Linked DNA regions of Diceros bicornis minor. The main gene of each other region encodes a partner of the protein of the gene in region 4 in a complex. Links are inferred from orthologs where the notes say so. Each region holds a gene or a part of one and is shown on either strand. Other genes may lie near its edges.

Region 1 (7,864 bases), on a different chromosome or scaffold from region 4:
ACGAGGATCCACCAGACAAGGGTGGCCCCAGCGCACGGGCGTTCCAAACTCGGATTCTAGAGTGAACAGACTTGCCTTCAAATCCGGCCCTGCCACTTTCCTGCTGTGCAGGCTCCCTGCTAATTAACCTCTCTGGGAAGAGGGAAGAACGCCGTCTACCCACCTCCGGGGTTGGGTGCGGGCAGGGTGACCCCCGGGCTCCGCACCGGCCCCTGCGAGTACCTGACAATGGCAGCTCTTTGAAGAGCTGGAAAGGAGGATCTAGCGCCATGCTAAGTCTGTTCTGTTATTATTATCTCTATCGTCGTTGTTGTCATTACCATTTTCTGTTATTACTATTAATGTTTTACTCTGCACCTACTATGTGCTGGCACCAGGCTGAGCCCTTTGCATCTAATCCTCTCGCAACCCTATGATGCAGCCCTACTGTCATCTCCGCTGGCCAGAAAAAGAAGTCAAGGCATGGTGAGGGGACCTCACGCGCCCCCAAGGGGCAGAGCCCCTGCTTGAGCCCAGGTCCGAATCCGGGCTGTCCACTGCCAGGACTCATGCAGGGTCCGACCCCCCCATCCCGCCCCGGAGGCAGGTTACCCTGGCAGGGCTGGGCCCGCTCTGTGGGAACCACTTCTCCAGTCTGACCCTCGCCCAGGCGCCATGTCGCGGGGCCCTCGAGGTGGACTTTCGCCTCCTCCTTCATCCGGTAGAGGACTTGGTTGAGTCTCTTCTTGGGCACTTGGCAGTCCTTGGCCAGCTGGGCAGCCTTCACCGGGGAGCCAGCACCCCTCAGCACCTGCAGGATCTTCTGCTCCAGGTCTGGGCGACAAGAGGGGCAGAAAGAGAACCGAGTCCCCCCACAATCGATTCTGGGCTGGGGGGGCGAGGGAGACCCCCCGAGAGGGGTCCAGGGCAGAGACCCGAGCAGACATCCACCTCTGTTCAGTGAGGGGCACTTGGGCTGGTCAGAGGTGACCTTGGCTGGACAGCCTGGTGGCCAGAGGAGGTGCCTAGGCCTTCCGAGTGTGCTCCCCCTGTTGTGAGTGCTCGAGGGCAGGTGGGAACTCTCAGCTCTCAGGCTCAGCTCTGAGAGGTCCTCAGAGCAGAGGGGAGTGGAGGGCGGCAGGACGGGGGAGAGTGAGGCGGGAGAGTGGGGGGGGGCGGGGGAGGGAGAGGCAGGCCTGCTGGGCTCTGAGCCCCCCAGGGAAGCTGCCCCTCCTCTGGGGCTCATCATCCATGTCAGTGGTGTCGCTATTCATCCAGCCAGAGACCCAAGAGACATTCAGAAACGGCTCTTTCTCCCTGATGCCCAAACACGGAGTCCTGGAAATCCTGTTCCTGGCTCTCCTGAGTCCCTCGTCTCCTCTTCTCCACCTCCTCTTCCCTGTTCCTCGTCACCACCTCAGGTGACAGCAATTCCACCAACTCTAGTCGGGTTCCCTGCGGTCCACTCTCCACTCGGCAGCCAGAACTGGCTCTGCCGACCACCCCGCTTCGTCTTCACCCACCTTCAACTTCCCTCCAAGTGCCAACCCGTCTGCGCTCCTTCCAGCCCCACTCACCACTGGGCCTTTGCACATGCTGTTCCCTATGTCAGGAACACTCTTCCCCCCTCTCCACCTGTCCAGCGTCTACTTAACTTCCAGGTCTCGCTCAGATGCCATCTCCTTTGGGAAGCTGTCCCGGATGCCCTGAGTGGGTGGGGTGCTGTTTGTGTGTGGGTCCCCTGCAGAATGTCCCCCAGGATTCCCTGCTGTGACTGCCTGACTCACGGTAGTACCTATGATGTCTAGCACAGTGCAGGGCACACAGTAGGTTCTCAGGAAATGGCCCTTGAAGGAATGAGTGACCAGGCAAATGAGTGAGTGAGTGGATTTGCCCACTCCTGGGACGGATGTCTGCCCACATGACCTGGAGCAGGGTAAGGCGGCTCCTCTTGGGCCTCTGTTTCCCCATCTGAGGTTAACACCCCTCAGCAGGATCTCGTGAGGCTCAAGGAGGAACTCTCTGAATGGCCTCTGCTCTGCGGACAGGGTCCCACAAGCCTCAGCCAGCTGCTCCTCCGGGGGTGAGAGGACAGGGCCGCGGGGCTGGTGAGAGCCTGTGGGCAGCTGCCCAGTCTGCCGCCAGCAAATGTCTGCCCCCAAGAACCCCGAGGGGGATGCAAAGCAGGGCCCTTCTTGGCAAGACCTGGGTCCCCTTCCGGGGCAGCAGCTGGCCTTCGCCTTCTGGGTTTTTCCGGGGTCCTTGGTGGCAGCACTATTGGGGAAGGGCTAACCCACCTGACTCGACAGCTGGGCGCTGTGGCTCGCCCTGCGGTCAGGATGTTTCCATCCTTGCAATTAGAGGTGCCATTAGAACACCTGGCGGCACCCGCCCTGTCACCCCCCAAATTCTACCCCAGCGGCCAGGGGATCCCTGTCCAACTAACTACACACCTGGCTCTGCATTTCTTTTTCTGTGTGTGAGGGAGATTAGCCCTGAGCTAACATCTGTTACCAATCCTCCTCTTTTTGCTGAGGAAGACTGGCCCTGGGCTAACATCTGTGCCCATCTTCCTCCACTTTATATGGGACGCTGCCACAGCATGGCCCGACAAGCGGATCGCTGGTGCGCGCCCGGGATCCGAACCTGCGAACCCCAGGCTGCTGAAGCAGAGCGCGGGCACTTAACCACTATGCCACCGGGCCAGACCCTGGCTTTGCCTTTCTTGAAAAGAGTTTTGATTCTTGGAAAGCCTGCCCCCGGGTAGCCTCTTCCCCTCCCTCCTCCTCCACTGCCCTGACCACAAAGGGCAAGCAGGCTTGGGGAGCAGGTGTGGGTGAAGGCCAAACCGGAAGGGCGGGGCTGGCCTCCTGCACAGAGACCTCAGTGACCGGAAGCTGTGACATGGACCAGGTGTGAGCGACAGGTTGGTAAAGAAAGGGAGAAGCCAATGGGGAAGAAGGTAGATGAGGTTACCCAGTGCCCTGGACTCCTACCTGCACGGCACCCCTCCCCAGACCCCTCCCCGGACCCCTCCCAGGACCCCTCCCGGGACCCCTCCCCGGGACCCCTCCCTGGCACACCTCCCCGGACCCCTCCCCTGCACCCCTCCCAGGACCCCTCCCCGGCACCCCTCCTTGGCACCCCTTCCCGCAGCCCTCCCTGGACTCCTACCCTGCACCCATCCCAGGACCCCTCCCAGGACCCCTCCCCAGACCCCTCCCCTGCACCCTTCACAGGACCCCTCCCCGGACCCCTCCCCGGCACCCCTCCTTGGCACCCCTTCCCGGACTCCTACCCTGCACCCCTCCCAGGACCCCTCCCCAGACCCCTCCCCTGCACCCTTCGCAGGACCCCTCCCCGGACCCCTCCCCTGCACCCCTCCCAGGACCCCTCCTCGGACCCCTCCCCTGCACCCCTCCCAGGACCCCTCCCCGGACCCCTACCCTGCACCCCTCCCGGGACCCCTCCCTGGCACCCCTCCCCGGACCCCTCCCCTGCACCCCTCGCAGGACCCCTCCCCAGACCCCTCCCCTGCACCCCTCCCAGGACCCCTGCCCAGCACCCCTCCCCAGGACCCCTCCCAGGGCCCCTGCCTGGCACCCCTCCCCAGCACACCCTCTTTTTCTCCTTTTTGTTCTCTGATGGCTGGTTTCCAGGGTTTGAGCCTCAGCTCTGCCATCTCCTAGCTATGTGACCTCTCTGGGCCTCAGTTTCTCCATCTGTGACATGGGAATAATAGTATCAACTTTAAAGCTTGTGAGGACTAAATGAGCTAATGATAACAAACAGAAACCGCCCTCGCCCGCAGCCCACACTGTGGCGCCCTTAGCGTCAACCGTAGAGCACGGCCGCGCTCGGTGCGCGGCTGACTTTCACCGGTGATTCTTCCTGGAGGAAAGCGTCATCTGAAGACAGAATGCTACGAGGGGAAAACACGCACATGCGCATCTTGTCAAAGCGGCTTCCGCTGTTTCTCAAAATGAGTATGAGGACGGGTCGGCCGTAGGCCCTGAGTCATCCCACCCGCAGGGCCGGCGGTCTCGAGCTCATTCGGAAAATGGAAACACAATTGCGCTCACCGCTGAGCGTCACTGTGAAGCGCACACCAAGTGTGTTGCAGGGTGCCGAGGCAGAGGAGCCCTCCGAGGGGACGCTGTGCTCTCCTCCTCGTCACTGCTGTGCTTGAGGGGACCCTGCTACCTTCGCCGTGATCTGGGCCAAGAACCAGAGAGAGAAGTACAAGTCCCACGGGGGAGCTCCCACTTCCTTGGAGGGAAGAAAGTACCTGTTTCGGTGGGGTCAGCAGGGGCCTCGGCCATGCCGGCAGCAGCAGCTGGGAGCCCGGGAGCCTGGGGGGCAGCGGCCGGCTCCTGCATCGCGGCCTTGAGGGTGGGCCACGGTGATGCCGGCTGTCCTGGCGTGGCCGAGCCTCGTGCTCCGGCAGCTGTGAAGGAATGCCAGCTTCAACCTGGCGGTGTCAGCTGTGCACACCCCGGAAGCGGAGCCCAGGAGCCAGCCCTGACCAGCCTTCTAGAGAAAATGAAACTTCTGTGTATGGCTTTCGAGAGAAACAAAATCGAAAGCAGAACTGATGAGCAAGTCCGAGCAGGCCTCCGTCTAGATATTGGTAGGGAAGAGCTGGGCTGGGCAAGACGCAGCATCCCCCAGGGCCAGGAGGCTTCCCCGACCTTCCAGGCGCCCCCACTGCCCACCTGACCCCCACACACGGAAGAGACAGCTGGCGGTGCCCTGTGAGGGATCGCGTGCGTGTCCCAGTGCATCTTTCTTTAGTGAGTGTCTACTATGTGCTCTCCAATCTTTGTGTCCCCCTGACCCATCTACAGGGTGGGGGCTGGGTCCGGCCTCTCTTCTCGGGGTCCGGCCTCTCTTCTCGGAGGGGAAATCGAGGCTCGGGTGGGTGAGGTCATTTGTCCAAGGCCACAGAGATGCTTGGGTTCTAACCCAGCCCCACCATTTACTGGCTTTGTGACCTTGGGCAAGTATGTTAACCTCTCTGTGCCTCATCTGTAAAATGGGGCTAATAAAAGTAGCCACCTCAGGAAGACTAGGGGGTTAATCCAGTTAAGCAGTCTGATCACAGCCACCAGGGCCATCTACAGTCACGAGCACGGTTGGGACCTGTTTCTGGAAAAAGGACCCATCTCTTTCATAAATCCTCAAAGGGGCTGAGCAGTTCAGAGCCTCTGTTCTCTTCCAGGGAACAGAAGGGGAAACTGAGGCCCCAGAGCTGAAGGGCTTTGGATGAGGCAGCCGAGAGGGTCAGGAGCTCAGCCCCCAAAGACCCGGACTCAGGGTCCCCGCTGCAGAGGCCTGGGAGGGCGAGCGGATGTCCTCGCGCCCTGGGGGACCCTCGCCCCAGCGTTTCTGCACCCGGAGGGGCTTGGGAACAAGGGCAGCCCTGGAAAAGGGTCCCGGAGGAGGCTCGTCTGGAAGCTGTCTCCGCAGAGCAAGCAGGACAAACTCAACGACGAGTCCCCACCCAGACCCATTAACTCCGAACCTCTGGGGCGCGGCCGAGCGCCCCAGGTGATCTCACGCCGTCTGAGGCGGAGAGCTGGACAACTCGGTAAAAACAGGAAACCACAAGGATGCTTTTGTTCCCCTTTTACGTAAAACCAAAGAATCGGGTATCTCTATATGAACTGAAAATATTAATTTTAAATGCGGGTAATTGGGGGTGTGGAGGGAGATCGTGGGGGCGCCCTCGGGGGGGCTCCTGCTGAACCCAGCGGGTGGCTTGGAGCTGTGCCGAGAGTAGCCACCAGGTGGCGCCCGCTCACCAACCGGCCCGGGGCCTGGAGCCCCGTGGGGCCTCCGCACTGGCTCGCTGACCGTCCCTCGGACCTTCCAGCAGGAACCACCACGCCAGGAGGGCCGAGCGCCCGGGAGGTGCCGCCTGGACAAGGACTCGGCCTTGCCTTCTTCTTCAGGGCAGGTCTGATCCGAGCTTCAGCCCTGCTTCCCCAGCTGTGTGTCACCACCTCTCTGAGCCTCAGTTTCCTTAATTATGAAATGGAGATAGTAAATAAGAAAAACCATGTCTATCTGACACTAGGTAGGTGCTCACAAAATTTGCGTAAGTTAGAAAATGTGATGTGATGTGTCTCCACAATACTTTAGGTGCTAGGGGGAAAAAAAAGAGCAAGAAAGAGAAAGAAGGAACAATTTAATGCAAGTGGTTCCCCCTTCCAGAGCATTCTGTGATATGTCTGGAATTCACGGAAGCTGTGAACCTGCTGTGAGCATCTCACCACACTGAGCGGGATTCTCACTTATACAGATTTGGATTATCTTGTATTTCTCTTCTCAATTTAAGAGATTTTCAAGGTAATTTTGACTATAAGGATTGTCTTCAACCCAAATATCAGTGGCTTAAACAATACAGAGGTGTCTTTCTTTCTCCCATAACAGTCTGGTAGGTGGTCCAGGTCCATAGTGTCGAGACCCAGGCCCCTTCTATCTTGTTGCTCTGCTGTTTGTGGCCTCTGTTCTCAGGTTGCCCTTATGTTCTAGGATGGCTGCTCAAGCTCCAGCCATGATGTCTGCATTCCTTCCAGTAGGAAGGAGGAAAGAGAAGAAGGGCAGGTACCTTTCCTTTAAGAACACTTGCAAGTTGCACACACATTCCACTGACATCCCCTGAGTCTTAGGGCCTGGCCTATCTGCAAGGCAGTCTGGGAAAGATGGTCTTTATTCTGGCCCACCATGCAGCCAGCCAAAATTGGAGGTTCTATTACTTCAAAATACGGGACAACGGATATTGGAGGATTATCTAGCTGTCCCTGTGAGGCTGTGTTGTCCCCTGAAGGAAGGAGCAAGGATACCCCTCTGTGCCTTGAGGTGTGTCCATTCACGGGGGCCTGTCTATCGAACAGGCCCAAGGCTGAGCCCCACCGAGGCCGAGATCAAAGGCAGGTTCCATACTCTCAGGACCTCCTATCCAGTGTAGAAGGCAGACGAGGACAGGGGGGGAGGGATACTGGTGCCCCCTCACTCCCCCGGGATGGGCCTCCAGGCCACAGGAGTCCCAAGATGGCGCCTCCAACCCCCAGAGCCCGAATCTCTCTTTGCTTGGAAAGCACACTCCTTTTTCATGGCTTGTGTTTTTCTGGAAACTATTAGAACTCTCCGCCCAAACTCAATGATAATTACATGTTACTGATCTTGAGTCTTTAAATTTCTCTTTCTCTCTCCTTTAAAAGAGAGATATTTTTACTGCTCATTGTGTTGGCAAAGCCCAGTCTCCTTCTACCAGGCAGCGTGGATGTTATTTTCACATTTCCTCGGTGAATTCACCTCAGGGGGGAAGTGGAAATGTCTGAAGGCACCAAATGTGGGTAATGACCTGTTTTGTGTCAGGGGCAAAGGCCCGAGAACCAGAGGTGGCCAGAGAGAGCGGGGGATGGCACGAGGTCACAAGAGCTACCAGCGGAGGGCGAGGGACACGACCAGGCAAGGGCCAGCCCCGGCCCTGCTCGCTGCCCTTCACGGCAGAGCCATTGACGGGGCTCCGCCGGTCACCTGTGTCCCCTGGAGTCAGGCAGACCGGGGCTCTGCTCCCAGAGCGAGGGACTCCTCTCTCTGAGCCTCAGTTTCTCCCTTTGACAGAGGTAATCACAGCAGCACCTACCTCTGGGTTGTTGCAGGAGTTGAATGGGATCGTGCCCATGAAGGTGCTCACAGAACGCTGAGCGAGTCGTATCTTCATCATATGATCCCAGCCGTCCCCTCTGAGGTAGCAAAGCCACCCCGTTTATTCATCCCGTCATTCACCAAATAATTCCTTGTGCCTTCTTTTTCCCTGGCCCCCTCGCTGGGTCCTGGCTCCGCTTTGCGCTCTGGCTGCAAAAGAGGACACACT
Region 2 (7,670 bases), on a different chromosome or scaffold from region 4:
AGCATAAGATAATGAACACTTGCATACCTATCACTTAGATTCAAGAAATGTTAACATTTTGCCTGAACTACAAATATTATAAGGCATGTGTTTATCTATACAAATTTATTGCTGAACCATTTGAAACTAGGTTAGATACTATGATATTTAGCCACTAAATACTTCAGCATACATCTCCTATAATAAGAAAAAAAATCCAAATAGCCTCAATACCTTTATCACACCTCAGAATATTATCAAAAATAGCCTGTTATTGGGGCTGGCCCTGTGGCCTAGTGGCTGGGTTCAGCACGCTCCACTTCAGCGGCACAGGTCTGGTTCCCAGACACGGACCTACACCACTCATCAGCAGCCATGCTATGGTGGCGACCCACATGCAAAATGGAGGAAGATTTGCACAGATGTTAGCTCAGGGCAAATCCTGCTCAAGCCAAAAAAAAAAGAGGAAGATTGGCAACAGATGTTAGCTCAGAGTGAATCTTCCTCAGCTTAAAAAAAAAAAAAAAAAAAAAAAAAACCGGTTATCCCATATCCAAGCCACAGTCAAATTTCCCAAAGCAAACAACAGATGTTTTTATTTTTTTTTTATTTCAGTTTATTTTTTTGCGAGGAAGATCAGCCCTAAGCTAACATCCATGCTAATCCTCCTTTTGCTGAGAAAGACTGGCTCTGAGCTAACATCTATTGCCAATCCTCCTCCTTTTTTTCCCCCAAAGCCCCAGCAGATAGTTCTATGTCATAGTTGCACATCCTTCTAGTTGCTGTATGTGCGACGCGGCCTCAGCGTGGCCAGAGAAGCAGTGCGTCAGTGCGCGCCAGGGATCCGAACCTGGGCCGCCAGTAGCGGAGCACGCGCACTTAACCACTAAGCCATGGGGCCAGCCCAACAGATGCTTTTATAGTTAAGTTAGTTCTTTCAAACTAGAATCTAATCATGGCTTATGCACTACCTTTGTTTTATATCTTTTGTTACTTTTAAACCAGAACAGCCACACACACACATACACACACACGCAATGCTTTGTTATCCCCATGACATCAGTATTTTGAAGAGTCTAAAATGATCACCTTATAAAATTACCACATTCCTGATGAGTTGTTTCTCCTAGTGGTATTTACCATGCTTCTATGTGTCCTGTATTCCCTATACACTGGAACTCTAGACTAGAAAAGTCTTGATTAAACACAGATGAAACATTTTAGGCAAGGGTATTTCAAAGGCAGTGCTGCTACTTCATATTGTATTACACCAGGAGGCACACATGTCAAGCTGTCCACTATCAGTGAGGCAGGGTTTGATGAGAACAGTTCTGTCTATTTTAAAGGTGCATTTAATCTTTTGCAAAGAGCAAGTAATCTGTCGGGTGATACTTAGGCCTCATCCAAATATTCTATTTCCTAACAAACAAACTTTCACCTAATGGTTTCAAAATTCATTGATAATTTTTGCGTGAATCAATTATTTCAGGATAAGCAAATAGTGATTTCTAGCAGTATCGCTCCTTCTATATTTATTAGCTGGCTATCTTCTGCAATATTCACAACAGTTAAAAGGCAAGATGGTAGTCATCTGGAATAGTCACCAATATTCTGGCTTTTTCTTCCTTCTGAGTACATGATGGAGTGTATTAGCTTTTGCTCCAGTTACAAACAATCTGAAATCTTAGCGGCTTATAACAACAAACATTTCTTGCTCACCGTTCTGTGATTTGTCTTGGCTCAGCAGTGGTTCCGCTGGGCTTTGCTCCAGGCTCTAGATCAGCGTCACACGTCTCTCAAACCAGGAGCCTGAACGAAGAACTAATGGATCCTGGGAGCCTGCCCTTCCATTGCTGTACGGTAGAGTGCAAAAGAGAAGGTGAAAACATGAGACTCCTTTTATAGCCTCTGCCTGGGAACAGGATGCTGTCACTTCCGCCCACATTGCATCAGCCAAAGCAAGTTACAAAATCAGGATGGCGGAAGACTCTGTTCCTGGGGCAGAGAACAAGAGAAAATTATTTCCTAAAACAACTACACAATCTGCCACAGCTGGATTGAACTTTCCATCCTCCTAAATTTGGACATGGCCATATAATTTGCTTGGGTCAGTGAAATATGAGCAGACACGTGGTGTATTTTCCAGCACCTCCTTTCCACTGCCACAGAGACCAGCGAAATTCTAAATTATTGAGTCACCATCACTTTGCATTCCTAAGTGAGGATAGCAAGTGAGTTAGAAGAACACCTGCTAACCCAAGACTGACAGGTAGTGAAAGTAAAAAAAAAACTCGCTCCGGCCGGCCACAGGGCTTAGCGGTTAAGTGCACGCGCTCTGCTACTGGTGGCCTGGGTTCAGATCCTTCCTTTTTGTGGCCGTTCCATCTTCAAGACTTGGTTTCCAGCATCGCCACTGGCATCAATATCCCGTGAGAAGACAAGAAAAAAGAGAGTGGAGAAAGTGTATTTGCTTGTTAACCACCTCGGCCTGTGCACACATCACATCCACTCACCTGCCCCATCCAGATACAAACCAGTCTGGAAAGATGGTTTCCTGGTGGGAAGCATGAATTTTTGGTGGAAAGTCATAATAGCTCCAGGAGGGTTTGTCAGAATCCTGTCGTGAGAATACTTGTTTAGGTAAAAAAGGCACTGGGAAGCAATTCAAGAAAAAAAGTCACAGGCTGCCATCTCTCAAAAACCCTAGCTCCAGGCAGAACAAATTGGCCTAGGTCACAATTGTGAAGCCATTTGCAGAAGACCTTTGCTCTCTTTCTTAATGTCTTGCTCCCCTCTGGAGTTCTATTGACAGGCATTTAGTGCTTTCATGGTGACTCCAAGCTCTTTGGACACCTCTAGTGGCAATTCTGCTCTGTTCTCCCAAGACATTACTAGGTGACCAGCTGATCAAGAGCTAAGATGGCCACAGCTGAATTGGGTCTTGTCTTTGATACATTTGCACTTTAATATTTCTGATTTTTATAACCTAGGGACTGTAGAAACATAGAATCTCATGGAATGATTTAATCATGTTACCACAGTCCAATTTAGGAGAAATTTGATAGGCAGCTCGTCCTTTAGAAATCCCTCAATCATAGCACACAAGCTTCCATGTACAAGTAAAGTCAACCCACTAATAAAATACTAATAAATAATAAGAAAATACCAAACTAATAATATCTCTGTCGTTACCATGGTTCTTAATACTTTACAAAGCCCTTTAATATCCATGTACAAATCAAATCAACAGTATTAAATAGGAAAAACATATTATCTCCACTTTACTAATGAGGAAACTGAGACTTAGATAAGCTAAGTGACTTTCCTGAAGTCACAAGGCTAGAAAGGAACAGACTAAAGACTAAAGCCAAGATAGTTTGACTCCTCGTTTAGTGCTCTTTCATAATTCTGGGAAAATGGGCCCTTTCCTGTGATGTCCAGTATTTCTAGGGCTTTTAGAAGTCTCTGTCTTCCAAATTATCTTCTAGTAAAAAAGTAGCCTGGTTTAACTGGTTTCCAACCCGGTCTTACATTTAAGATTTATTTCCTTATTTTCTCTTTGACACATGTATTAGCTCTCAGTTCATGTTCTGATTTTCCTTTTTCTCCATCTTGAATATTTTTGGATGGTCAATTATCTGAGGGAAGAAACGTTCATATTTTGATTAGAGTTACATCACTGATATCACTGCATTTATTTCTCAATCCATAGAAAGCTTTTGACAATTATTGCTTTGCTTCCCACTCACCCTTGCCAACTTGCACCCCAGGGCAGTGATTCATTCTTTCCCTCCTTTTTTTTTGAATCACGAAAGCTGATTGAACATGCAGTAAACCAAGAGCATGGCAACGTGACAGGAAAGCAAGTAAGGGCCTCTAACCTGACACATACAGTTAAAAGCAGACTGTAGTTAAAACCACAAGATGGGAGTTACTTCCTTCCCAAATGCCCACGCAAATCTGGTCTGTCACACAGCAGGGCTTGCGTGTATTTGCCAATAACAATACTTAGGAGAAAATATACCTCATTTACTCCATTTTCTCAGATTCTCTACTTTGTTCGAGATACTCTGTTCAATCCTCATCCCATCTCCCTGCCTCTTTCTCACATCCCTAATTCTCTTAAATAATTTTCTCGCAATCTCTGTCCTTCCTTTCCTTTCATTGTCTTTGCTCATTTTGTTTTCCAGAAATTCTTTCCTAATATTCATGCTTGATCCTGACATTCCTGCTTATTGCTTCCTCTCACAATTTAACATATCATGTCTCTAGAAGTTTTTTCTATGATAGTTTGTTGCTCTAAAATTGAGGATGAATTTATAGAACTGGAGTTGGCAAACTACAGGCCAAATTCCACCTGTGGTCCATCTTTGTAAGGATCCCAAACTAAGAAGGGTTTTTACATTTTTAAAGGATTGTAAATCGAAATAAAGGTTCCACAGAGACAGAAGGGCCCAGAAAGCCTAAAATATTTACTGTCTGTCCGTTTACAGAAAAAGTTTGCCAGCATCTGTTCCAGACTATAAAAAACTTCAGGTCTCTTGCCTATTGCCATCCTCAGTCATCTTTGTTATTCTTTGAGATTTTCTCCCCAGTTTAAAGCAGAGAATACAGGATTACAGGACAACCAGCTGCAAAAAGGCACTAGAACTGAAGGCCCTTATCTTTTTCTTTATGTGGCATGACCATTACGAGAAGAGTTTAGGATTTCTTTTTATTTCAATTTATTGTTTTGGGGGTAGAGTATTTTTGGTCATAGAGAACAACTCAGATCATCGCCTTCACATTCCCAATGAATCAGGGGATCCACTGGAGAACCAATATGCCCTTCTCTCCAGCCCAGGAAAGAAAGAGAGAAATAGGTGAGGTGGCACTGGCATGCGAGGAAGCAGGAAGGTTATGCAGGAGAAAGGTCTGAATAATTTATCCTCCCTGTGAATCCCAGGTGGTGGCAACTGAATCTCCTGAAGCCACACCAAGACAGAGACAGATTTTAATATTTGAATGACACATTTGAATGAGGCCTTCTCACTCTGCTTCTGACGCCCCCTACTGGCAGAGGGAGGTGTGACTGGAGAAGTAAAGAGCCTGGGAGGCCACAATAGCACTGTCCCCAGAGACCAGGATAATGGCATGCTGGTGTGCTGCCATGCCTGGCTGCTTCTCTGAGACAAATATCAGAGCCAGGGTGTGTGTGAGTTTGTAACAGCACATCCTGGGAAAGCCTCCACTAAAAATCCTGACCGTCATGAGGGGAAATATGCTCTCTGCCAGCAAAATAGGATGAAAGCAGAATAACAGATTACCAACAATAACACCAAAGCAAGCTTTACAGCCAAGACCTTCTTAAGTGTAGGCACCTACTAGCTGTAGAACAGGCTAAATTCGCATGTTTAGCCAAAGGCTGTGAGAGTAGATTTAGGAGACAAATATAAAAACAACAACAACAATAATAATGTCAAGGGAGAAAGACCTTTTGCTGGCCCGGAATGTCATTATTCCTAGAATGTAAGAAGTCCATACAGTGATTTTCATTTTTTAATAAACGTTTATTAAGCCTATGTGAACTGTTACTTTACAATCTAAAGCTCAGACAGGAGAAGACACTTGTTCAGGGCCACATGGTTATCAAGGACAAGACAAAGAACAGAAGCACAAGGAGAGATACCGGAGATAAAAGTAAACATCTGTGACTCTGATTCTCAAATCTGCCTCCTGGCAGCTGTCTAGTTTGGGGCAAGTTATTCAACTCTCTGAGCCTCAATTTTCTCAACTCTAAAGTTGGAACAATATCTACTTCTCAGGGATCTTCTGAGGATTAGAGGTTATTTTTCTAATGTGATTGGTTCATGGCTGACCCTCTAGAGGAAAGGAGGACACAGAGAAGGGAAGGTGTGTAGGTACCAGGCACTCTCATTACAGGAAGCACAGGAGCACGGAGGCCTGAGCATCAGGACACCAGATTTTCAGGCAGTTATATCCACATTTCCACGTCCCTTGAGGATAAAAGATTAGAAAACATAGTTCTTACAATCAGTCCTCCAGTGACTATGGGAATTCCTAGCTACAAAAAGCATTTCAACTCTGGGGCCAGGAATTCTGAGCAAAACATTTGCAAGTCAACCCTCTCCCCTCTATTGCTCGATGGGCATTCTAGACCCTCAAAACTGTGTGCGTGAGGCAATGTCCCCTTCCTTTTCTGCCTCTAACTTTGAATCTCTTCTTTTCTGACATTCTCAGCCTCCTGGAAGCCTTCTCAACACATTCACGTGGTAAGAGATATTCTTGTCTGAGAATGGGGGCCAAGGAAAGAAGAAATGAACCAAAGAGGAAATACACAACCAAAATTGCACTGGCCTGGAAGTCACCACCCATTTCCTGCACTGTGGCTATCTCTATAAAGGTGACCAGGTAATATCTCTGCCTCCAAGTTTGCAAAGTCTCTGGTATTATCAGGAATGAAAACATAACCTAAAATTGGTAGAATCACTTTAGAAAGAATATGGTATACCCTGGTGAAGTTGAATAGGCATATAATCTATGATTTAGCAATCTTACTCCCACGTACATAATCTGAAAATTGTTGCACTGTGATATACAAGAATATTCTAGCAACGTTGTTTATAACAGAAAAAAAAACCACTAGAAACAACCCACATGTCAATCAAGGGCAGGATGTATTAATAAACTGTGGCATATTCACACCATGGAGCACTATGCATCAATGAACATAAATGAACTGCTGTACATCTAAGAACATGGATAAATCTCAAAAAATATGATGAGGAAACAAAAGAAACACAAGAGAATATGTTTCTATTTATATAAAGTTTAAAAACAGGCAAAATTAGGTAACATTATTTAGAGATAGCTATATGTGAGATAAAACTATAAAGAAAGCCAAAGGGATGATTGGTTACCTCTGGGGGCTCGGAGGGGGTTGCAATTGAGGAAGTTCACCCAAGAGTTTTCAAAGGAACTGGCAACATTCTCGTTTTAACCTGGCTGGTTGGAACTTGAGTGCTTATTTTATGATTACAATTATGCTGTTTAAACTGTTCATATATATTACACACACCCTTGGGTATGAATAATTTATTTCACAATAAAAACATTAATGTAACCCAAATATGCACAGGGCCCTTTGGGTAGCCTCTGCATCACTCTACACTATCTTGAGCCCAGTCAGAGCACCAGTGTCAGCCTTGACAAGGAACATAAATTTTATTAAAAGTTTTGCCGAAGATGGAAACGAGTGTTATATATTGTGCAGCACACGGCAAAACTAAAACTTTCCTTTTAATCATCTCCATTCTTTCTTTTTTCCTACATTGCTTTACAAATGCTCTTTCCCATATATCTGTCTCCTCCGAAATCTTTAAGAAGCTGCTCTATAAACTACAACTATCAATTCTTCCCACCTCACGCCGTCAACCAACCTGGTCAGCTCTTGTCCCCAACGCATGATTTGAAGGCATTTATTCATACAGAATTTTGAATCTCATCAAAAAACTACTGACTACCATAACAAACTACTTTCAGAAAACAACAACAACAAAAAAAAGAGATGAATAGGAATCCATCTGTGCCAAAAAGGAATAAAAATCCAAGGAGTACTGACAAATAAGAGACGTGTTGCCTATCTCAGTAATGAGCAAAATTAGCTTCACTGTCATTAGGAGCAGAATAGG
Region 3 (7,091 bases), on a different chromosome or scaffold from region 4:
TTTCTTAGTCCTTGCTCATTTTTCTATTCCATCTTTTATTTCTTTAAACATTTGACAATAGCTTCTTTTGAGTCTTCATCTGATTATTCCAAACTCTGAAGCCCTTAAAGATCTAAACCTGTTGATTATAGTTCCTGCAGATTCTCCCTCATGGTGATTTGAATCTTTATATATTTAGTAAATTTTTTTGTGTGTGTGAGTAAGATCAGCTCTGACCTAACATCTGTGCCAATCCTCCTCTTTTTGCTGAGGAAGACTGGCCCTGAGCTAACATCCGTGCCTATCTTCCTCCACTTTATGTGGGATGCCACCACAGCATAGTCTGACAAGCAGTGCATCGGTGTGCGCCTGGGATCCGAACCCGGGCCGCCAGCAGTGGAGCGCGTGCGCTTAACCGCTACACCACGAGCCGGCCCCAGTAAATTTTTTTGTGAGTTTATATTTGCCTGAATTTGATCCAGAAACTTGGATTAAGGATGCTTTCTTCTAAGGAGGATTCAGTTTGCTTCTGCTGGACTCCAGGGGGCATTAATAATCTGGGGCCATTTAAATCTTTCAACTTATGGTTTATTTGATCAAAAGGAAAGTAAAAATTCCAACTACAGATCCGTGTGAGAGCAGATCTCACAGGGAAACTAACATTTTCATTAATTTTAACATCTAGCGCTGCAGCCTAGACAGGTTCCCTTGCAGGTTCCCTCCACAAGCAGGTGGACTTTTTCCTTTCCACAAAAAATGAGGCCCCTTTGAGGGCCCCAGCTTGTCAGGGAATAGGCGTGTCTTATATTTAGCTCCTCCATCTTCCTAGGCCCTAGGGCCTACTCTTTGGTTCTCCCTTAATCTCCCATACCCTCTACCCAGTCCCCAAAGCTCTAGGTTTCTAATTAGTTGACCTCTCTATTTACCTTCTTTTTTAACATTTTTCTATTTTGTTGGTTTCAGGGGGATGCCCTTAGGAGATTACCTTTATTTTATTGGGAGCTCACTAACAAATTTAAAAATACATGTTTATTGTGATTTATATAGCATTTAGGTATTCTGCTATGGGAGGCTTTTGAGCTCTCTGTCACACTCCTGGAAGAGAATTTTTAAAACAAACAAAAAATATGATTATATGGGACATACTGTTTTATAATCTGTTTTTTTTCCCACTTGATATATGATAAACACCTGTCATATTAATAAATATAGGTCTAAGTCATCATTTTAATGGCTACATAATCTTCCATTGCATAATTTTTTCAGTCTTTTTCCTATGATTGAATAGCTAGGGTTTTATTTTTTCACTATTTTATTTATTAATATTTTTTTGTGAGGAAGATCAGCCCTGAGCTAACATCCACGCCAATCCTTCTCTTTTTGTTGAGAAAGACTGGCCCTGGGCCAACATCCGTGCCCATATTCCCTCACTTTATATGGGACGCCGCCACAGCATGGCCTGACAAGCGGTGCGTCGGTGGGCGCCCGGGATCAGAACCCGGGCCACCAGCAGCGGAGCGCGCACACTTAACCTCTATGCCACAGGGCCGGCCCCATTATTTTTTCACTATTTTCAACAACACTTCAGTGAATATCCTTATAACTAAATCTTTGCACATATCACAATCTTCTCCCTTAACTGTTTATAAAAGTAATGCATGCTAATATAAAATAATCAAACACTCTGGAACATGAAAATCCTCCATAATCCTTTTTACTGTCACCTCAATTAATACCATTTGGTCTATAATTAGAATCTCTTAATCAAACAAGAGATGAGAATTAGTTAGGGCTAGAATACGCAAGAAGAGAGACACACCCTCTGTCCCCCCACCCCGACAGCTAGGGAGAAGGAACCAGAGCAGGTCCTAGGGATGGGCTGAAAGTAACCAAAGACAGTTGGGAGCAGAGAACTGAAGGGATGAGAGACACCCAAATAGACTCCAAAAGCCTGTGACACCTGGGGTCACAGGGAAGGCCAGAGCTCCAAAATCCAGGAATCAACTCTGCCTTACCAGTCCCCTCCTGCAGAAGCAGAGGATCTTGTCAGGCACTCATTCCAGGCTCCTCTCCCTGCCCTTCCTTCTTCTAAAGGCGCTTGGTCTATTTTGAGTCAAAAAATAGTACAGGCTCTGACACTAGCCGCAACCCTATGCTTATAGTAGCTGACCCCTGTCCCAATCTAAAGAAATCCAGCCATAAAAAGGCCTTTAAACACCCTTCTCTCTCCTGTCTGCCTGTTCCCCTCAAGTGGAGACTAGGGTCTTCTCCCAAAGAGAATCATGAAAGGAATGGCTGCCCCCTCTGATGGCTCTTAGCTCCTGACTAGACTTTTTGAGGACTGCCATTGTATTCTGTGAGATACGCCATATCTCTAGAGTCAAGTCTACTTCAGACAGATTCTGTCAACTGTGCAGATGCAGTGAGAACCCCCAAACCATAAAGAAGCCCAACCTCCTCTTTCCTCCCAATGAGCACGGAGCTCCAGCTGGGGTGATCAGCGTCTTAAGGAAGCTCCGAAAGTTTTGCTCGTTCCTTTATTAATTCAATTCAACAAATATTTATTGGTATCACCCACATACTGGCTTTTAAGGAGACTACAGTCTAAGAATTACAGCTTGGACTGATTCCACCAGAATTCACGTTGTGGATCCTGGAGTTCTCAGGTGCTCTAGAAACCACAGTTAACTGCTGGCCACTTTTGCTCCAACCAGCAGAGCCCGTGGACCACTGGACAGAATGAAAAGTGCATACCAAGGCGAGCACCTTCCAGTGAAGCTGGCACACGACCTGTATGGTTGGGTCTCCTCGTGAAACACTGAGCGTCTAGGGGTGGCCGTATCTAGTTCCCACAACCTCCAGCCATGGTCAGGCTTTGGGCACGTAAAATATGGACACTTTTTGTCTACCCTAAATCCTTAAGGCTCCCCAAGCTCCTGAGTTCTTTTTTTTTTTTTAATTTTTTTTTTAATTTTTTTATTATTTATTTTTTTATTTTTTTCCCCCAAAGCCCCAGTAGATAGTTGTATGTCATAGTTGCAGAGCCTTCTAGTTGTTGTATGTGGGACGCGGCCTCAGTATGGCCGGAGAAGCGGTGCGTCAGTGCGCGCCCGGGATCCGAACCCGGGCCGCCAGCAGCGCAGCGCGCGCACTTAACCGCTGAGCCATGGGGCCGGCCCTCCTGAGTTCTTAAAGGCCCTTGTCCAGAGCATATGCCTGTCGGGAACGTGTATTAACCAGGGCATTTGCATGGAGGAGTTGGCATGCTGGGAGAGGGCAGGGAGGCGCTGAGGTGTTTCGACTGCAGTGTACACCACAATGTCAGCAGCCCTCTAGCTGAGCTAGTTCATCTGACCACAATGCCCTGGGAGTAGGTCTTGGTCTTGCCAGCAGGCAAGTCACTACCAATGCCAGGGGCTTGCCAGCAAGAGCAGCTGTCAGGGACTGGGCAGGAATACACACAGGGACCCTTCACTACACTGTTGGATGCGTCACACCGTCCTCAGCCCCCTCATGACCAGCTGAGTGGTACAGCCCTGAAGCCTGTGTGAGAATAGGAAAACTCGGTGGTTCAGAGCCAGACTCTGAAGTCAATTCATACTGGCTTAGGCAGGATACTTAAACTATCAGTGCCTCCATTTCCTCATCCATGAAGAATAAAAACAGTACCAATCCCCCTAGGGTTGATGTGAGAAGTAAATAAGCTAATATATGTACCTGGCACATGGCAGCCTTTATAGAAGTGTTGGCTATGATCTTAGGGCAGCTATAGGAGAGCTGAGCCCTAGGACCACAAAATCCTCCTCAGCACCATCCCCTCCCCCCCGCCCAGGCCTGGTGGGTGCTGGAGCTGGGAATCCTGTGGGAGAAGGGAGAAACGCTGACTATAGGAGTGAGGTGATTGTGCGTTCCTGGAAGGTGAGGACTCCTTCCGTGGTACCCCAAATGCCCAGTGACGCCTAACCTGGCCGAGGCACACAGCAAGTGCTCAAGGAAACACTGGTTAAAAGAAAGAAGCACTAGCTTCCGTTTTACACTACCCCCTCCCACTACTGGGGCGGGACCATAGAGGCGCCTGTCGGAGAAGGAAGTTATTAACTCACTCGGTGCAGGCACATCGACCCGGGAAGCGGAACCGTGCAGTGGCCTAGAGATTGACCCCTCTCCCGATCCCCTCCCCCTCTCTGCCACAAATCCCGTTCCCAGAAGTCACTCCATCCTCATGGGCTCGAAACTTCCAGAAGCCCCTCACCCTTCCAGCCTGATGTCTTGCGTCAAGTTGTGGTGAGTGGAGAGTGGGAGGCCAGGAGACAACTGACAGTGCCAAGTCCCCGGAATCACGGGGCCAGGCGGGGGTGGGGGTGTGCAGGGGGCAGCGTGGACTTGGGGCCATGGCCAGCTGGTGGACGAGGCTCTCTCTCTCAGGCCTAGCGGAGCCCCAGCCTCCCTGGTGCCCATCGAGGAATTGGAGAACCCGAAGTTGGTTGGCAAAGGCGGGTTTGGCACCGTGTTCCGGGTGCAACACAGGTCGTGGGGTCATGATGTGGCAGTCAAGATCGTGAACTCGTGAGTGACCCAAGCTTCTTTGGAGCCAGTTGGTGTCTGGCCAAGGAGGTGGGGCCTGAATGGGAAAGGGAGGGGTCTTCCCAGGAGCAGAGCCAACTCCATCTCTGTCCTGGGGTGTAGGGAGGCGATATCCAGGGAGGTGAAGGCCATGGCAAATCTGCGTAACCAGTACGTCCTGCTCCTGCTGGGGGTCACCGAGAAGCTGGAGTGGGACTACGTGTCCGGGCCAGCTCTGGTGACTCGATTCATGGAGAATGGGTCCCTGGCAGGGCTGCTGCAGCCCCAGTGCCCTCGGCCCTGGCCGCTCCTCTGCCGCCTGCTGCAGGAGTTGGTGCTCGGGATGTGTTACCTGCACAGCCAGAACCCCGTCCTTCTGCACCGAGACCTCAAGCCTTCCAATGTCCTGCTGGACTCAGAGCTGCATGTCCAGGTCAGCCCATCCACACCCTAGCCCAGCCTTTGGACAAAGTCTTGCTCCTGAGATGCTCCAGCCCTTCCCCCGCTTAATGGGACACAGGACCTGCTGCAGCTCTGGCTACTGAATAGCCTCAGCATCTCCCTCTGGACACAGGGCTGCCCAAGTGTCACTCAGGAGCTTTATCTCTGCCATACCAGGTGATAGAGGCCCTGACCGACACAGTCAGTTCCACAGGCCCACCTCACCAGGCCCTCCAGAGACCCATGACTAACTTAGCCCAGCAGACTCAGACCTTGACCCAGCCCTATGGAGAGGGGACCCAGACTTCCAACCCAAGGGCCCCACTGGTCTGACCGTTCCCTAGCCTTCCATACTCCCTTTACAAGGCTGGATCTGCATCTCCTGGCAGGGAGGGAATTCTGGAAGCTGGTTGGCACTGTCCATCCCCTACCTCCTTCTTCTTCCCTCCTTTTGCAGCTGGCAGATTTTGGCCTGTCCACGTTTCAGGGAGGCTCACAGTCAGGGGCAGGATCAGGGAAGGCAGGGGGCACCCTAGCCTACTTGGCCCCAGAACTGTTGGCTGATATAAACCAGAAGGCCTCCATGGCCTGTGATGTCTACAGGTAAGTACTCACTGCAAACACATGTCCCCAATTTCTACACCTCTCTGGGCCCTTCTAGGGGAAGGTAACGGGAGAGGAGTCTTGCCAGTAGTAGGGCCAAGCCTCAGCTTTGTGTCTTGTGCAGCTTCGGGATCCTAATGTGGGCAGTACTAGCTGGAAGAGACCATGAGAGTAAGACTTTGGACAGACTCTGGGATCCTTAACCCCGGGTACCTCCTCTCACGAGCCCCCAACCCCTCCTCTTCCTGCTTACCTGCTCAGATTGTCCTCCTCCCTCACCTCCCCTTGGACTACACTCCTTGCCCCTTTCCATGATGGAACAGGTGGCCCCTCGTATCCTTAATATCTTCTCTGCACATCGTCCATCCCAATCCCAGTAGTGTCCCAGATATCGCTGGTGAAGGCAGCAGTGTGTGAAAGGAAGGTCCGGCCCCCCTTAACTGAGCTGCCCAAGCCCGGCCCTGAGACTCCTGGCTTGGAGGGACTGAAGGAGTTAATGCAGCACTGCTGGAGCCATGAGCCCAAAGACAGGCCCTCCTTCCAAGGTGAGCTGGCCATCTGGCAGCTGGGGTAGGCCTGGATCTGTCTACAGGGGGCTTTTTCCTGGAAAAGAAGTTTTGCTCCCCTACCACCCACTCTGCTTTCTCTCCAGACTGCCGTCCAAAAATGAAGAAAGCTTTCCTTCGGGTGGAGGACAAGATAGAAGATGCTGTCTCCATGGTGAGTACCCAACACAACCCCCCGCCCCCTAGAAGCTGGTCAGAGATGGCAACATGGCTCCCTTGGCCACCCAATGACTCCCCTGGCCACCCAATGACTCCCCACTGACCACTGTTCTTTATGCCTTGACCCTCCTCTTCAGTTTCCCCACCCCACCCCTGAGTTCCCAGGCAACAGACTGTGGACCAAGAGACTCCTCCCTTGGCTACTCAGCTCCCCCACCTCCACACCCAACAAGCCCCCTGTCCTTGCAGGTGAAGAAGTTCATGTTTGAGCACAGGAGCAGCAACAGGACGATGTTTACCCCTGAGCCAGGCCCAAGAAAGACAGAAATGGATGGCCCTGGGCAAACCACAGGAAGCTGCAATACTGTGGCTGAGATGTTGAACAACCTGAATGTGGAGGGGTTCCCCAACTCTGTTCCTGAAAAGTGTACAAACACTCCTGAGAGGATCAGGGCACAAGGAAAGCAGGTTCAGCATGACCGGACAGCAGGGACATCTGACTCAACAGCTCAACCTCCCCAAACTCCAGAGAACTCACCTTTCAGAAACCAGGTACTCAGCCCCTCCTCAGCTTGGACCCCAGGTCCTGGACCCCAAGGGAATCAGGTGAGACATTGGCAGGACTAGCGGATACACTAGGACTCCTGTGAATCCTGTCCCCTTGCCAGGGGAAACTTGGGGCTGAGGTGGTGTGCGATGGGGGAAGAGACCTCAGGACAGGGAGCCCGAGAGCACTGTGTTGTTCACAGGGGGCTGAGAGACATGGTACCCACTGGCCTC
Region 4 (6,820 bases):
CCCAGAACCTGGCAGCCGTCCACCCTGCACACAAACACGGTCAAACACAGGGCCCTGCAGCCAGAGCTTTCACAGCCTAGTAAAGGTGTTCAAATCTCAACAAAACTTACAGCTGACCTGTAATTTTCCAACTGGATGATATTCATAACTTCACCTCTACATACTTGTACCTCACAAGCACAGGTCTCTGATTTTGTCAGTCTGTGCTTGCCATTCTACTATTTTCTGTACTGTTCTGTACCTTTTTAATTTCTTTTAAAAAATGAATAATTGAATTATTAGGACTGTGTGCATGTGTGTGTGTCTGTCAGTGGGTATGTGTTGGCAGATGGGTAAGCATAGCAACAAAATCAGTTGAAATTTAAATTTCGGTTTCTATTCTTTGACAAATTTGGCCAGCATAAGGATGAGGGTTCTATACGGATAGCTATACTTGGAGCATTCCAGAAAAGCCTCCAGGAATTCATCAACCTGAGCTGGAGGGGCCCTGAGAGCTGGAAACTGTGGGGTGCTCGCCGTGGCTCTCAGAGAAAGTGCTAACACTCATGGTTTCCCCACCCACACTCAAACGCAAGGATCACCCAGATTCCACCCTCAGCAGCCTAGAAAACTCTAGAATCCAAGGCCTTCCTCCCCGAAGGCCCAACTGACCTTATGAAAGCAAATCCTGGGATCCTCGAAGCGGCAGCAGCTTCTTCGCAGGCCTCTTTCTGCTGGCGCATCCAAGACAAGAGTAAAAAACAAATGAAGAACCAAAAGCACAGCTCGCTCTACTTCCTGTTTTAAAAACTCCTGAGTCAATAGGCCGAGTGAGGTAGGCTGGCCTCAGAGCAGCGCCTCCTTCCAGAGCTGCCAGAGAGAGACCAGGTGCAACAGGCCACAGCACGCTGGGTTGGGAGCCCGGCCACCTGAGCCCTGGCCTGGCCGTGTGACTGTGGACGGGTCATTTCACCTCTGGGGCCTCATCACCACAATCCAAATAGGAAAGTTGGACTGGATGTTAACTAAGAACCCCCTCTTTTCATATGTCAGGAATTTACAGATTTTCTGGGTTCATTACTAAGACTTCAATGTTTTCATTCAATAAATATCGATTAAGCACTTCTGAGAGATCTTGAGATCTGGGAACTGTGGGGCCCTCACCACGGCTCTCAGAGGGTATGCTAACTCCTACAGCTAACTCCCGCGGTTTCCCCAGCTACGCTCAAATACAAGGATCACCTCTATGGCCCTGAGGCCACCAGATCCCACCCTTAACAGCCTAGAAAATTCTAGAATCAAAGGCCTTCCTCCCATAAGGCCCAGCAGACCTTACCAAAGAGGGGCCCTGGAGATATAACCACGAACACACATTAGCCCTGCCTTTTTGCTGTGAGTTGGTTGAAATGTTTTCTGATATTAAAAGCAGAAAAAAAAGAAAATCAAACACCTCTGTTTTTTGAAACTGCCTTTTTTCTTTTCCCAGATGGAATATAAGCTTTCAGAGGGCCGAGACCCATGTTATAGTTGAGAGGATGAAATGAGGTGTCTGCAAGTGCCTCTTCACCTTAGCGGGCAAGGTAAGGGTGCCATGGTAACATTGACGCCCCTCACTACCACTTGAGTCTGCTCGTAAAGCCTGTGTGAGAACACAGCAAAAGAATGAAAGCCTGCAGGGGCTAAATCCTAGCCCAGGAGCTGTTCCCTGACTCTTTCTTGATGCCTCCTGAGCATCCACCCCAGCATTTGTTCCACTCTTTTGTGACTAGTTCCTGTCCTGGGCTGTGAGCTTCACAGGGCAGAGACCGCATCTTTCATGTCCATGTTCCCAGGACCTGCCATGGGAATAGCAAGATCCAGAACGTACAAAGGTTTCCTGCAAATCAACAAGAAAAGAAACCCAGTAGAAGGACAATGGATACAACGTGGACTTCCCTGATAGGGATGCTCAAATAGCCAAAGTGTACCAAGGGATGCTCAAACTCATCAGTAACTGGGGAAACACGAAATAAAGCCAGGAAATACCCACTTTATACCTATCAGATTGACAAAGATTTGCAAGTTGGATCAGACCAAGGACTGGTGGCCAAGTTCTTACATAGTCCTCATATAGGACTGGGGAGACTGTCCATCGTGTAATACCTTGTAGTGGTTAGGAAGTGGGACCTGGCAAAATACATAGAATTTAGAGGGCAGAGTGCTTACTTTTTACAAATAATACTCATATGCAATAATAATTGCTAACACTTACTGGGTACTTCGTAGTGCCAGTCACTCTTGTAAGTGGTTAACACGTATTATCTCCTCCAATCCTCACAACCACCTCAGGAGGTAGCATTAATTCCATTTAATGATGAGGAAACAGACATCAAGAAATACTTACTTGCTCCAGGTCACAGAGTTTAGATATAGTGTACACACACAAAACAACGATACATTTTGCAAAGACAGATCAATTCAGGGATACTTATAAAAGACGCAGAGAGTGGTCATTGGGGAGCCAGTGAGTGGTGTCGGAAGTGTGGTGGGGGTAGGGCGATCAAAGAAATTGCTTAGAACGGGGTGGGGGGGGGAGTGTTGCAGGCTGGGAGACCAAGGATGACAGGCCATGGGGTCTGACAGAATGATTAACTCAACCCTCTGTCCCAGGGCCCAACGGAAAAGAAAACAAACATAAACGGGTTAATGAAGTCTTGTGGGATCCAGCAGGAGAGAGACACTGTCTGTACTGAGGCAGCTGGGGAGACTGTGAACAGAAGTGCAGCAGAGGAGCTGGAGATTCCTCAGAGTTAGCAAGGCCGGTGGCTGTGGTTCAGAGAGAAACGCCATTCGGACGTCTGCGCCCTGGCAGGCCCGGAGGTGTCTCCACTCGGTCGGGAAACGCAGTCCCCAGAAGCCGTGTCTGCACGAGGCACTCACCTGCTCCACTCTGTCCCGGCAACATCACAGTCACCAGGTCCCCATGCCAGACCCCTGACCGGCCTAGTTTCACACACAAATTCTTAAGGCTTGTCCACACAGCCACAGAAAAAGCCCGTGAAACAGGGAGGGAGGAGGGGAGCGGGGACGGAAACGCCTCCAGGAAGAAGATTTCCTTTACTTTCGATCCCTCCTCCGGGCTCTTCTCCTCCCCCAGCGGACTCATTTCCTGTTTCTCTGTTCTCCACATTCAGAATTTACTAGCAAATCCAGCGGGGCTTTAAAAAAATCACAAGAGACAAAGGGGAACCTGCGAAAACATTGCCCTCCAGCAGAAGGGCAAAATCTGGTCTCGGCAAGAGAGAGAGAAAATTCCTCAACAAAAAGAACTAGAGAATAAAGCTGATTCCTAAAACTGGAGATCAGTGACTCATTCAACAAGAAATGTTTCTTATTATGGTGCTGAGTTCCAACCATTCAGAGGAGGAGATGACAGACAGTTCGTCAACGTGCAAACTGAAAACCAGGAAGCTGGACATGCTTTATTGGAAAGCATTTGTCCTGACTACATTTACTATTAATAACCCCTGTAATTTTTAAAGACAGGCTTGAGACTGCCCATGGCAAGTATAATGCCATTTTCCCGTGACAGGCTGGGGAGAGGAATTGTCCCTCTGTGCCGTGGCCCAAATCTCTGCCCGGATACCATGGACCAGCCGTGAGATCCTATGTCTGAGCTCTCCTTGGGTAAGAGCAGGCTTCTGGCTGAAATGTGGGGAGACTGTGCACAAAAAGGGTGGAGTGGGTCTGGCCCAGTCCTGAGTAGGAGTAGCAACAGTGTTCGCATCCCTAGCCAAGCTCCCAAGAGCAGTAGTAAGCAGTGCCTGTCCAGGGCCGAGGCTGGGGTGGTGTAATGTGGAGATCTGCCCCCCAGACCTGCCCAGGGGCCCTCACCAGTTTTTCTTCATCCTTCGTCCCCTCCCCACTCTCTGCTTCTGTTTCCAGTTTCAATTATTTCAAGGGTTTTCTGCCCTTTTGTTTTCACATCTTGTACATTTTTTTAAATTATTTTATTGAGGTCATATTGGCTCATAACATCGTGTAAATTTCAGGTGTACATTATTATAGTTCAGTTTCTGTATAGACTGCATTGTGTCCACCACCAATAGTCTAGTTTTTATCCCTCACCCTGCATACGTGCCCCTTTACTCCTTTTACCCTCCCACCACTCCCTTCCCCTCAGCCACGTGCAAAAGAATGAAAGTAGACCATTATCTTACACCACACACAAAAATTAACTCAAAATGGATTAAAGCCTTGAATGTAAGACCTGAGACCATAAAACTCCTAGAAGAAAATATAGGCAGTACCTTCTTTGCCATCGGTCTTAGCAGCATCTTTTTGAATACCGTGTCTACTCAGGCAAGGGAAACAAAAGAAAAACTAAGCAAATGGGACTACATTGTCTTGTACATTTTGTAACCAAAACACTGACAATAATACAGTACTGTCTTGACATGAGTACAGCCATGTTTGGCCGCTCCATTGACCTACAGCCACCAGCACAAAAAGAAATATAAAAGCTGCTTTCTGTGTGGTGGGAACTGGCCTTTTCCCGGGAACTGGCCTTTCTCCCACAGAGAGAGTTGCAAGTTGTAACATTTCAAGGCTCTTGGAGCGTCGTAGCACGGGATGGACTGGCCATCTGTGCCGGGCTGAGACGATAACCAAAGAGAACAATGCACGTACACAACTACTGGGCCGGGATGTTAGCCAGGAGGCTCAGTGCACGTACGCCACTGATAACCATTTTGTACATGGGAACACTAAATGCTTGCTCTGCAAACTCTGTAATTGCTTACTCTGAAAATTACTGATGGTATAAAAACTGCTGGAAACTGAGCCCCGGTGAGAGTTCCACCTGTGGAAGGGACACCTTGCCCAGGACGTGTGATCCTTGCCCAGCTGCGTTGATTGACAGGGCTCTCCCAGCAGTGCGTGGATGTTGTAAGTAATTGATTTGATATGAAGTAATTGATTTGATGTGTAGTAAGTGATTTGATGTGTTCTCTTTTCGGTCAACCTGGTGTTTCTCTTTCTGGTTGATTTGTGTCATTTCTCTTCAGCCAATGTGGGTGTTTTCCCTTTCCACTCGGGCTGATGTTTTTTCCCTCTTAATATTTGACCTATTTGGATCTGTTTGCAGACTATCGCCTTTACTATCCTCTATATAATAAAATATACCTTCAGTCCATTTGTTTGGAGTGGAAAGTGTCTTTTACGTCTCCGATCGAATCCCCGAACCTCTCGTAACAAGTACCTATATGTTGTACCCTTTACGTGGGTTATCTCTAACTCTCACAGCAATGCAGGGGGTTGTTCTCCCATGTGATGGATGAGAAAACTGAGGCTTAAACACATAGACTCAAACTCAGTCCTCTTGGACCAAACACATGGATTTTTCCACTGTAGCACACTAGCCCCCCTTCCTCAACACTTAGGATGTGAAGTGAACCGCGTAGATGGAAAAGCAATAAATTTAAACTAAGAGGGAGTGACCTATGCACAAAGTTCAGACAGTCTTTGGGTTCTCAGTCACCTAAGAAAAAGGAGCTGGTCTAAGGGCACTAGCTAACATTTATCAAACATTTTGTGTGCCAGACACAGCCGCCTAAACTGGCTCACTTCACCTTCCGAACAATTCTCAGAAGTGGATGCTATTTTTGCTCCCATTTTGTGGGTGAGGAAACCGAGGCTTGGAGAGGTTGAAAGACTTGGCTGAGTGCGTTCAGGTAGTGAGTGACAGAGTGAGGTCTGTTTGTCTCTAAGACACTGACCAGTTAGTCACTGTCTAAGTATTCATACACAACCATGGTTCTCGATTTGACTGATCTGAGAATTAACTGAGGAGGCTTAAAAAAAACACCAGTCTTCAGGTCCCAGCTTTGGAATTCCCACCCAAGCAGAATTAGAGGAGATGAAACAGATGGAGCACTTAGCGTAGTGCCTGGGCCTTCGACAGTTCTCAACAGATACTCACTACCACTGTTACTTTGGCTCACGACGTCTGTAAGACTGCTTGGATTATGAGACATATTGTACAGATAAGGAACTAAGTTCGTGTCAATCAGCTGACAAGTGGCCAGGCCAGTGCAGGAACCCAGGAAGGTCTCACTCGAGGGTTTGTGCTCATCTGCTGTCCACACCCAGGCCCAGCCTGGCAGAAATGGATGAACCCCTGGAGGTGCTGAGGTTGGGTTGCGGGTCTCAGGACTTCCACTTGTGTCATCTGTAAGGGATTGATCCTTGGCTCTCCTGGTCTTAGCTCTTTTTAAAAAGGAAGATGAATAATTAACAAGTGAATTGGAACCTTAAGTTGGTTAAGTTCCTATTATGATCCGCAAGGATCATTATTAATTCACTTGCTCTTACCAGTGTCTTGGTGCCATCTTGAGATATGTCTTTATATCAAAATGAATAACATAGGTGGTCTGTAGGTCCCGGGGAAGCTGGGAGACCTGGAGGTGCTGCAGCAGCAGCAGGGCCTGGGGGAGTGCCCACCCAGCGCAGGATGAGGACAGCCTGGTGGGACTTAACTGCCCAGTGGTTTCCACCCTCCTGGATCTCCACTCCCACCTGGAGGCCTGCTCCAAAGAATCTCGTCTCCATTTGGAGCTGTCTATCTCCCTAAGGAAGCCAAGAAGGATTGAACCTCCTCTCACCTGGCTGCAGCACACCCGTCCTATTATCTTGGATTTGAACCACAGGACCTTAGTCAAGGATAAATACCGACAGTGAAACAAAAGTCCCCTGACAGTGCATGCTCTTTCTTTCATTGCTTCCTTATTAATTTGTGTATAACTGACCCACAGTCCAGGTGGTCTGGTGTGTGGATTCGATTAGGTCCCTCCTGACCCCTCTT

The links.
Region 1: CASP8 (region 4) and ZBP1 share a complex: the UniProt entries of both Homo sapiens proteins name them as parts of the AIM2 PANoptosome complex. The link is inferred for Diceros bicornis minor from reciprocal best matches to the Homo sapiens genes CASP8 and ZBP1.
Region 2: CASP8 (region 4) and interferon-inducible protein AIM2-like share a complex: the UniProt entries of both Homo sapiens proteins name them as parts of the AIM2 PANoptosome complex. The link is inferred for Diceros bicornis minor from reciprocal best matches to the Homo sapiens genes CASP8 and AIM2.
Region 3: CASP8 (region 4) and RIPK3 share a complex: the UniProt entries of both Homo sapiens proteins name them as parts of the AIM2 PANoptosome complex. The link is inferred for Diceros bicornis minor from reciprocal best matches to the Homo sapiens genes CASP8 and RIPK3.

Annotation. Positions count from the first base shown.
Region 1 is NC_080758.1:5,918,577-5,926,440, reverse strand, and holds the start of ZBP1 (Z-DNA-binding protein 1), read right to left. Parts: upstream 3,003-7,864; 5' UTR 1,229-3,002; coding exon 592-1,228; intron 1-591.
Region 2 is NC_080743.1:63,954,316-63,961,985, forward strand, and holds the start of interferon-inducible protein AIM2-like, read right to left. Parts: upstream 3,004-7,670; 5' UTR 1,699-3,003; intron 1-1,698. UniProt on the Homo sapiens protein: Sensor component of the AIM2 inflammasome, which mediates inflammasome activation in response to the presence of double-stranded DNA (dsDNA) in the cytosol, leading to subsequent pyroptosis.
Region 3 is NC_080744.1:23,680,812-23,687,902, forward strand, and holds the start of RIPK3 (receptor-interacting serine/threonine-protein kinase 3), read left to right. Parts: upstream 1-4,083; 5' UTR 4,084-4,201; coding exon 4,202-4,263; intron 4,264-4,404; coding exon 4,405-4,545; intron 4,546-4,665; coding exon 4,666-4,975; intron 4,976-5,440; coding exon 5,441-5,586; intron 5,587-5,710; coding exon 5,711-5,757; intron 5,758-5,963; coding exon 5,964-6,131; intron 6,132-6,238; coding exon 6,239-6,306; intron 6,307-6,560; coding exon 6,561-6,863; coding exon of another isoform or gene 6,864-6,917; intron 6,918-6,979; coding exon 6,980-7,091. UniProt on the Homo sapiens protein: Serine/threonine-protein kinase that activates necroptosis and apoptosis, two parallel forms of cell death. Necroptosis, a programmed cell death process in response to death-inducing TNF-alpha family members, is triggered by RIPK3 following activation by ZBP1.
Region 4 is NC_080749.1:79,144,953-79,151,772, reverse strand, and holds the start of CASP8 (caspase-8), read right to left. Parts: upstream 3,009-6,820; 5' UTR 2,899-3,008; intron 714-2,898; exon of another isoform or gene 652-713; intron 1-651. UniProt on the Homo sapiens protein: Thiol protease that plays a key role in programmed cell death by acting as a molecular switch for apoptosis, necroptosis and pyroptosis, and is required to prevent tissue damage during embryonic development and adulthood.